3 linked regions of the Ovis aries genome follow. The protein of the gene in region 3 purifies or fractionates together with the protein of the main gene of each other region. This does not show direct contact. Links are inferred from orthologs where the notes say so. Each region holds a gene or a part of one and is shown on either strand. Other genes may lie near its edges. The genes, in order: TECR, TGFBR1 and CANX.

What was found.
Region 1: the proteins of CANX (region 3) and TECR purify together in Homo sapiens (affinity purification with mass spectrometry; 3 studies listed by BioGRID and IntAct, with this or other methods). This does not show direct contact. The link is inferred for Ovis aries from reciprocal best matches to the Homo sapiens genes CANX and TECR.
Region 2: the proteins of CANX (region 3) and TGFBR1 purify together in Homo sapiens (affinity purification with mass spectrometry; 3 studies listed by BioGRID and IntAct, with this or other methods). This does not show direct contact. The link is inferred for Ovis aries from reciprocal best matches to the Homo sapiens genes CANX and TGFBR1.

The regions. Positions count from the first base shown.
Region 1 is NC_056058.1:9,554,640-9,557,236, reverse strand, and holds part of TECR (very-long-chain enoyl-CoA reductase), read left to right. Parts: intron 1-1,386; coding exon 1,387-1,437; intron 1,438-2,123; coding exon 2,124-2,175; intron 2,176-2,478; coding exon 2,479-2,523; intron 2,524-2,597. UniProt on the Homo sapiens protein: Involved in both the production of very long-chain fatty acids for sphingolipid synthesis and the degradation of the sphingosine moiety in sphingolipids through the sphingosine 1-phosphate metabolic pathway.
Region 2 is NC_056055.1:48,711,235-48,714,888, forward strand, and holds part of TGFBR1 (TGF-beta receptor type-1), read right to left. Parts: intron 364-3,654; coding exon 238-363; 3' UTR 1-237. UniProt on the Homo sapiens protein: Transmembrane serine/threonine kinase forming with the TGF-beta type II serine/threonine kinase receptor, TGFBR2, the non-promiscuous receptor for the TGF-beta cytokines TGFB1, TGFB2 and TGFB3.
Region 3 is NC_056058.1:1,394,241-1,397,894, reverse strand, and holds part of CANX (calnexin), read left to right. Parts: intron 1-3,102; 5' UTR 3,103-3,105; coding exon 3,106-3,279; intron 3,280-3,540; coding exon 3,541-3,614; intron 3,615-3,654. UniProt on the Homo sapiens protein: Calcium-binding protein that interacts with newly synthesized monoglucosylated glycoproteins in the endoplasmic reticulum. It may act in assisting protein assembly and/or in the retention within the ER of unassembled protein subunits.

The sequences.
Region 1 (2,597 bases), about 8.2 Mb from region 3:
TGGGGCGGGGGCGGGGGGGGGTCCCTGGCTGGGTGGATGTGCCCTCAGAGAGCCTTGTTCAGGGCCCTGCCCTGGGTTCCACGTTCTCCTTTTCTCCATGCTGCCTCCGATGAGGGCCTGCCAGGTGGGAAGGGCCTACTTGGGGTCAGACCCAGCCCTGCCTGGGTGTCTGATAAGATCCGAATCAAGCCCTGCCCCAGGGGCCTCAGACCTTTCATGACAGGCTGGGGCTGCTAGGCCTCACTCCAGCTCCCCCAAGTTAGCACCTTTCACTGCTGGCTGGCATGCCTTCTGTCTGCCTGCTTAGAGCGGGTGGGTCAGACTCCCCTCGGAGCCCTGCCCCTCCCAGCATTGCCCCCGTGCTCCCCTGACTGGGGCTCAGAGACTAGGGGGTGCCTGGGATGTCTGCTCTGGGCTCTGGGGGCTCAGAGCCTGGACAAAGATGTTGTGCTGGGCTGGTGTGGTGGAAGGACTGCCCTGGTGGTGGCCTTGAACAAGGCCTGGGTGGGCCTGATGAGAAGCAGGCGGAGAGGGGGCCATGGAGGTGGGGGCCAAGGTCTCAGGATTGGTTGAGGGTGCTTGGTGGAAGCTTCTCCATTTCCAGACCCTTTCCACGCTTAGAATGAGGCTCTCCGCGCTGGGAACCCCGGAATCTGTCACCTTCCCTGGGAACATGAACGCACGAGGAAACTAATCCAGAGTGTCCCTTGCAGCTCAGAAGGGGAAATGAATGATCTATCTCACGGATTCTCAGAATAGCTGGGATTTCTCCAAGCCCAGGGAGCTCTGAGGGCTGAGCTGGGCCCTGGGCTGCCCGCTGACCTCTCCCCCTCCTCCTGGTGGACTAGCCCTTGCTCTGCACTGGGCTGGGACCCGCCTCCGTGCCCATCCTGGGCATCTCCCTGCCGTACTGTTGGGGGTCCACGTCCACTGGAAAGCCTTACAGTCGGAACCCCCCAGGCCTGGGGGTGCTGCTCCCAGGTGCCCCCCACCCCGGGAGGTCTGTGGTGTGGCTCCTGGGGGACTCCGGTGGGGCAGTTTTATATTTAGCTGGGTCGTGGCTGCTGGGCCACTCAGGTTACATCTGCACAGAAGCTGGCAGTGCCAGGGCAGGCACGGGCTTCCTTCCAGCACCGCGGCAGAATTTGATCGCGCCGGCCCGACCCAGAGCGCCTCGCGTGGGGAGGTCTGTGGTGGGGGCTGACGGCCGGCAGCTGGGGACTCTGGCCGCTGCGGGCAGAGCGGGGAGGCATGGACCTGAGCGTGAGCCTGGCGGCCCGGGACAGCAGCCAGGGGCTCGGCCCTGGCTTTGGCCTCAATGGCCTCCCCCGGCCTGCGCCCCCCAAAGCGACCAAGAAACCTAAAAAAGCCGTTCTCTTCTTCGAGGTGGAGATTCTGGATGCCAAGACCCGGGAGAAGCTGTGCTTCCTGGACAAGGTAGGACCGGCCGTGGCGCCAGCTTTGTGGGCCCGAGGGTGCTGGGCCTGGGACTCCTCCTTTTCTGGGGTCTTGGCCCCTGGGGAGATGGATATGCCCCTCCAGCTGTGTCCTGACAGCCACCCCCTGCCCTTCAGGGTGTGCAGGACGGGTGTGTCCCTGCGCCTGCCCCTGCCACTCGGCCCCTTGGGGCAGAGCGTCCTGTTCCCTGGGTGTGGTCTGGAGCTGGCCTCATGGTGTATGAGCAGGCCGTGCAGCTTCAGTGGACCCTGCAGGGCTCTGGTGCCTGGGAGAGAGGTGGGGTCCTGAGACCTGCCCCCTTCTGAGGCCAGTCCAGGGGAGTGGGGTGGTCCCATCCCAGGGAGGTCTGGAAAAGACTGAGGGCCTTGACTCGGGGAGGAGCTGTGGGTGGGGTGGAGAGGAGGGGCAAAGCAGGCTTGGCTTCCATGCTCACACCATCCCCCAGCTGGTCCAGAGGCGTCCTGGCTGCCTGGTTAAAATGGCCTTCTGGCCCATGGTTGTGGTGTCGGCTGGATGAGTTGGGGGGCCTGGTCTCCAACCCTCCCCCTCTCATAGCAGTTGTCTAGGACCCCAGTCCATCCCACCTCCCCAGGAGAGACCCTGGGCCCCTGGCCCTCCAAACTCTCTGCCACAACTGACTTGTCTCCGGCCTGTGCTTCCCCCAGGTGGAGCCCCAAGCCACCATTGCTGAGATCAAGAACCTTTTCACCAAGACTCGTAAGTCCAGGGCCCAGACACACGGCTCCCTGTGACCCCTCTGGGCAGGGGCCTCTAGGTGGGACCCCATCCTGCCTGCCTCTCCCTCAAGGGCCTGCAGAGATGCCCCTGGTGTGGCCCAAGCCTCTCGGGGCTGGCCTGGGGCCGCCGCCCCCGTGTGGCCACCCGCAGGAACGCCCTTGCAGGGCTTCCGGAAGGACAACATCCCCCTCTTGCTGCGCTTCCGTTCCGTGTCTGGGAGCCACACCGGGGCCCATAGGAGCCCACTTGGCCGTGTGCCTTGACACCCTACTCTCCCTACAGACCCACAGTGGTACCCCGCCCGCCAGTCCCTCCGCCTGGACCCCAGTGAGTACAGCCGTCTGCTGGGCTGCCCCCGGGCTCCAGGGTGGCCGTGGGCTTAGGCCCAGCAGCCCCTGAGC
Region 2 (3,654 bases), on a different chromosome or scaffold from region 3:
ACAACATTTTGTAACTGTCCTGGGAAAGAAGCGTTCATAGTGCACAGAAAGGACCCCACATGGCAGTTTCCTGGGTCTGAAGAAATCCTGGGATGTTTTAGTTCACCTTGTTACATCGTCATAAAAGGAAGCAATATCCTTCTGTTCCCTCTCAGTGAGGTAGAACAACTGACCTCCCAAATTAAAACCCAGGAGCAGATCTGAAGAAGAAGTAGAGTTCAGGCAAAGCCACAGAATTTACATTTTGATGCCTTCTTGCTGACTGAGTTGTGACAATGTTTTCTTAATCCGCAAAGCTGTAAGCCTAGCTGCTCCATTGGCATACCAACATTCTCTCATAATTTTAGCCATTACTCTCAAGGCCTACAAGAAAAGAAAAGAAAGATCATTAATGCATGCACCATGTTTCAACGACCTGGATAATAATCTTTCAGTTCAGTTCAGTTGCTCAGTCGTGTCCGACTCTTTGCAACCCCATGAATCGCAGCACGCCAGGCCTCCCTGTCCATCACCATCTCCCGGAGTTCACTCAAACTCACATCCATCGAGTCGGTGATGCCATCCAGCCATCTCATCTACCTGTAAATTTTCTTTTTAAACGACATACAAGTATTTCTGTTTCAGCATTATTTGTAATAGCAAATGAGTAAAGATGACCTAAATTCCCATCAGCAGGATACTGGTGCCAGCAGCTGGAAAGCAGATGGACAAAGGAGGATTTACTTGGCAGCCTGAGAAACCTGAATCCTCAAAAGAGCTGTGCAAAGCAAAGAGAACCTGACTCACATGAAATGGCCCCCAAAACTGAGGAATTAACTTATATCCTGTATCCCTGGGGTGAAGTTCAGGGTAAAAATAGAATCAGCCAAAGAAGCTGGAAACCCAGATACCTGCCCTGCCCCAACTTCACACAGCTGGGTGACCATCCCACCCCATCCGAACAGAAGACAAGAGGTTTCAATCTGAGAGAGCAGAACAGATTCCCGTCTTGGGGAAATAAGGGCAAAATTCCACACTGACAACACACTAAATGCTAAGACAGTAAACTTTCTCCCCAGAACACGGCCAGTGACTTTACATGGTCCTCCAGGTAAGAGACCAGAAGAGTCTTCAGCCCAAGAAGAAAAGCCTAAAGAGAGACATCAGTGGTTCCCCAAGGAAGCAATCCAGTTACTTCACCCTTAGACTGCAGTGGAAGATAAGCTCCATTCACGTGCACAAAGCTTCCTATCAGCTTTCAGTGCTGCTTTTATACAGAGCATGAGCTTGATCAAACATTTCAGGAAAGTAATATGAAATGCAGAAACTGACACAGAAAACAACACCTTGGAAAAACCAAAAGGTGTATAGAAGACAATATCAACAATCCATCATTAATATCTTCAGAGATTACTGATACTGGACTTATCAATACTTTTTTGGGGTTTTGTTTGGTTTGGGGAAAGTTTTATGAAACCACAAGATAAACCTGAGTGATAATAATAAGACCAAAAGATATAGGCGGATTCCTTTCCCAGAAAGTAGAGAAAAGAAAACAAAGAGATGGGTAATAGGAAGAAAAACACAAGAAAATCAGAATGCCTGTTCAGGATGTCTACATTCATAACCAGAGTTGAAGAAAAAGAACGGAAAATGGAAGGGAATACTTGAGGAAAATTTCCTAGAAATGAACATTTGTTTTCAGGTAAAAATGACCAAGGGTTCAGGACATGCATAAAATCATCCAGCAAACTGAGTGCCATAATCCAGATGCCATCCTACATGCATCTGGTAGGATACACTAACAGACACAGCAGTGAACTAACAGACGACATTTCTGCTCTCATAAAGCTTACGTTATAGAGGGCTAGAGCATATAATAAATAAGCAGAATGCATGGACTGTCCGTGCTAAGTGCTGAGGAGAAACATCATTTAGGGAAGGAGATAAAATATGCCAGGGGGGGGGGAAAGTGCTATTTTAAATAGATTGACAGGTAACGTCTCACTGACAAGGTAACATCTGAGCAAAGAGCTGGAAGAGGGGGATAAATGAGCAAACCAAGAAATGTGAAGACATGGGATTCAGAAAGGCAGTCACCACAGAAGAGGCAAGAGAGATCACAGGTGAAAGGTGAGGGATATCCCAAGATGAAAGCTGGCCTAGAGCCAGACTGGCTTTTCAGACTGGAAAAGGTCAGAGGGCTCTGAAAAACACTTCCGTAGGCATCCTATCAGTTTCAAATTCTCAATGTGTTTCAGCTACTGAGGGGAGATTTGTAAAACCCAAGAAAAGTGAAAGATTAAGTTAGTGATACAAAACTAGCTAAATCGAGAGAAAATCTAAAATGACAGTGATGGCATTAATTCAACATGCTGCGACAGTAATTGCAACTTGCATGTATGTTTTTAATGTTAACTACTAACTTCATGCTTAATTAGCCATCTGTTTAATATTAATTTGCTCTAATTTGCTTATTGAATGAGTGCATGAATAATTCCAGTTTGTAGTGTCAAGATGAAATTTTTCAAAGACAAAATCTAGGCCAATTTCATTTGTTAAACATGCAGGTTCTGTGAGCACACAATATATTTTGTCTGGGCCTGCATACTGGATTTCATTGGAGGCAGCCAAGGAACTCTCTTGATCTCACAAGTATCTAATGAAGTCTGCTGCTGCTAAGTCGCTTCAGTTGTGTCCTACTTTTAAGATGTAAAATAAACTACTTAAGTGAACAGCTTTTTATTCTTCCTATACTACAAAACATCAACTCCAAAGGGAAATGCTTTGTTTTACCAATATTATAATAGTATCATAATAATGGTTGTTAACTCAGTTGTGTCTGACTCTTTCTGACTCCATGGAATGCAGCACGCCAAGCTTCCCTGTCCTTCACTATCTCCCAGAGTTTGCTCAAATTCATGTCCATTGAGTCAATGATGCCATCCAACCATCGCATCCTCTGTCACCTGCTTCTCCTGCCCTCAATCTTTCCCAGCATCAGGGTCTTTTCCAATGAGTCAGCTCTTCACATCAGGTGGCCAAAGTATTGGAGCTTCAGCACCAGCCCTTCCAATGAAAATTCAGGGTTGATTTCCTTTAGGGTTGACTTGGTTTGATCTCCTTGTTGTCCAAGGGACTCTTCAGCACCACAGTTCGGAACCATAAATTCTTAGGCACTCAGGCTTCTATGGTCCAACTCTCACATCCATACATGACTACTGGAAAAACCATAGTTTTGACTATACAGACCTGTGTTGGCAAAGTGATACCTCTGTTTTAAATATGTTGTCTAGGTTTGTTATAGCTTTTCTTCCAAAGAGCAAGCATCTTTATTAATTTCATGACTGCAGTCACCATTCAGTGATTTTTGAGCCCAAGAAAATAGTCTTTCACTGTTCCATTTTTTCCCCACCTATTTGCCATGAAGTGATGATCCTGGATGCATGATCTTAGTTTTCTGTATGTTGAGTTTTAAGCCAGCCTCTTCACTCTCCTCTTTCACCTTCAACAAGAGGCTCTTTAGTTCCTCTTCACTTTCTGTCATTAGGGTGGTATCATCTGCCTATCTGAGGTTATTGGTATTTCTCCCAGCAGTCTTGATTCCAGCTTGAGGTTCATCCAGCCCAGCGTTTCACATGATGTGCTCTACACATAAGCTAAATAAGCAGGATG
Region 3 (3,654 bases):
TGAAGTCTTTGACTCTCACTTATTGGTTGTGATATTGAGTAAATGATTGGGTTGTTTTCATTTCACTACATCTTAGTAATACCTCAAGGGAGGTTTGCAAAATAATGTAACTGTGAAAGTGCTTTTATAAACTGGAACACAAAGCACAAGTTGATGATTCATAAACCCTAGTCAGTGGTTCTCAGGGTAGCAACCTTTGCATCCCCTGGAACCTGATAGGAAGGAAAAGGCCCAGCACGCACACACTCAATCAGCAGTCTGTTTTAAAAAGCCCCCTGAGGCACGCTCAAGTTAGGAAGAGCTGTCTTGTGACATTATACTCAACCCAAGGAGCATTGTGTTAGTCTGCTTGGACTGCCACAACAGCACCACAGGCCGGGCAGCTTAAACAACAGAAAAGTGTTTTCTTACAGTCTGGAAGTCTGTGATCGAGGCGTTGGCAGAGTTGGCTTCTGATGTGGCCTTCCTCCTCAGCTTGCGGAGGGCCACCATCTTGTGTCCTCGTTGGACTTAACCTCTGTGCATGTGGATTCCTGGTTCTCTTCCTCTTACTATAGACACCAGTTAGGGCCCCAACCTTATGACTGCTTTTAACCTTAATTACTTAAAGGTCCTATCTCTAAATATAGTTATGTTGGGAGTTCAAGTTTCAACATACAAATTTGAGGTAGGAGACACAGTTAAGCCTGTAACAGCGGTATATGTTGTATGTGTGTGTGCGCTCAGTTGCTCACTTGTGACCAAATCTTTTACAACCCCATGGACTGTAGCCTGCCAGGTCCTTCCATAGGATTTCCCAGGCAAGAATACTGGAGTGGGTTACCATTTCCTTCTCCAGCGGATCTTCCCGAAATGTGGGTCTCCTTCATTGGCAGACCAGTTCTTTACCACTGAGCCATCTGCAAGCCCATAACATAACAGCAGTATATCAGTAAATTAAAAGATACAGGGAAAAAAATCAGTCTTCCTGTTCTGCAGCTGTACTCTCCCTCACTGAACCCTACCTGAATCCCATTTTTGAAAGTTAAGTAGTTAGTTCATCTCCCCGATTAGCTTTTCCTTGAGCAGCAGTGTTTTAACATCAGTGCACAGTCCTTATTAATTCACTGGCTTTGTGGTTCACTTAATTGCTACTGGGCTTATCACATTTGCCTTTTTGACTTAACTATTTTGTGGGCTAATTTGATTTATAGAGTATCCCTGGGAACCCAACTGCCATTTATAGCATTATTTCTGTGAGGACTTCTTAGGTTGTATACAGTTGATGTAGATAAAAGGGTTGAATCAGCCTGTTTAGTTTCAGAGAATCCAGTGTAGTTGTAAATCAAAGCGATATTGCTACGCCATTGTAGATTTCGGTGGTAGAGAATAGAAGCCTTAACAGTGAAAAATTGAAATTACTGGCATTTCTTGGTATATAAGAAGCCATAGCAGAATGTTGACATTGAGAGTTTTTAAACTCTAATACCAGTCCTAGGAAAGATGATGAGTGAGTTTTTATTTTTATAAAAATCTTTTATTTCTTTATTTTCTGTGCTGCCTAGGAGTCCAGTGAGCCTTACTTTCTTTCATTTTGTGAAAACAGTACCCACGCTTTATAAATAAAGGAAATGCCGCCAAATGATACATGAAAGTCTAGTTCTATATAATCAATCACTTTAAAGGATTATAGCATTTATAAGGAATTAGGCGTTAAATTCAGCATTAGAATAAGTTGATTTACCAGTGACCAAAAAATTAAGCTATTTTATTTTAATAAAATCTTTTTTATAGCAGTGAAAATACTTGTAAGATTTACCATCTTAACCATCAAGTTCAGTGGCATTGAGTATGTTCATATTGTTGTACAGCTTTCACCTCCATCCGTCTCGAGAACTCTTCATCTTGCAGAATTAAAATTCTGTACAACCTACTGCCGAATCATTTTGTGCATCCGTGTGGCTCAGTTTTTGTATCTTTAGATCTGTGGTTTTGGAGAGAGGATTGACTACCATCCATGACAGTCAGATATGATATGTAAGACACTTGAAGGCTTAGAAAAAAGAGATAAAAATAGTTGGTCTATGGTTTAATATATTTTTTTGTTTTTCGGAGAAGGCAATGGCGCCCCACTCCAGTACTCTTGCCTGGAAACTCCCATGGACGGAGGAGCCTGGTGGGCTGCAGTCCATGGGGTGGCACAGAGTCGGACATGACTGAGCGACTTCTCTTTCATTTTTCACTTTCATCCACTGGAGAAGAAAATGGCACCCCACTCCAGTGTTCTTGCCTGGAGAATCCCAGAGACGGCAGAGCCTGGTGGGCTGCCGTCTTTGGGGTTGCACAGAGTCGGACACGACTGAAGTGACTTAGCAGCAGCAGCATGGTTTAATATATTTTTTTGTTGAATCTTAAAACTGATGTATTATTTATTTACTTGGCTTATTGGGTCTTAGTTGCTGACAGGTGGGATCTTTGCATCCTGCGGGGTCTGGTTTTAGTGCAGGACCTTGTTGAGCATGGAGTCTCGAATTGTGGCCTGTTTGCTCTGGGCTTAGTTGCTCTGTTGCATGGAGGATCTTAGTTCCCCAGCCATGGATCAAACTCAAGTCCCCTGCTTTGCACAGGGTTCCCTGGAAGTCCCTTAAAACACTAATTAAAAAACATACCTATTCTTCTTGATCTTTGGACAAAAACAGCAGCATCTAATCTAAATTAAGTCTTTAATGTGAGGCAAGTTAACTCCTCTGTTATTTCATTGTAATGTTTTAACTCGTTTAAACTATTCTGTAAAAGGGGCTTTGTCTATTGTAAAGCTCTTTACAAATGCAAGAAGTTATTTTGAAATTATATCTGAACACCCTAGGTCTGTGTAGCCAACATGATATTCTATATGGGGACAATTGTTTGAGTTATAGTTTGAATTTTTTCTTGAAATTGAATCTTTTAACTAACTGATTTTAGGAAAACCTGTTATTCTGAGTTCACTTTCTTTATCTATAAAATGAAATACAGTAAAGTTCCTTTCAGCTCTGATTTGAAAGCCTTAATTTTAAATAAGGGTTCAAAATTTTTGAAAGGAGGTGATACAATTAACTGTATTTTTTTTTAATAAATACTTAGATCATGGAAGGGAAGTGGTTGCTGTGTATGTTACTGGTCCTTGGAACTGCTCTTGTTCAAGCTCATGATGGACATGACGATGATGTGATTGACATTGAGGATGACCTTGATGACGTCATTGAAGAGGTAGAAGACTCGAAACCGAAGCCAGATGCCAGCAGTCCGCCATCGCCAAAGGTTTGACATGATCTTTGAATCTGTTTGTTTTGCCTCTTGAGATGATCAAAAGATGAAGGTACATTTTGGATCCTTACCAAAGGGAAAGCAAAATTTGCTAAAATACTTATTGCTCTCCCTGTCAACCTTTGTTATATTGTCCCAAAGATAAATTATATGGGTTGAATTTGAGGGCCAGTCATGCAAGTGTGAAAGCAAACCAAGAGAATAGATCCTACTGAGAATATTTTAATTCTTAATTCATTTTTATGTTTAACACAGGTCACCTACAAAGCTCCAGTTCCAACTGGGGAAGTGTATTTTGCTGATTCTTTTGACAGAGGAACTCTGTCAGGGTAAGTGTTTTGTAGGGGGATAAAATCTTAGAGGCAAACA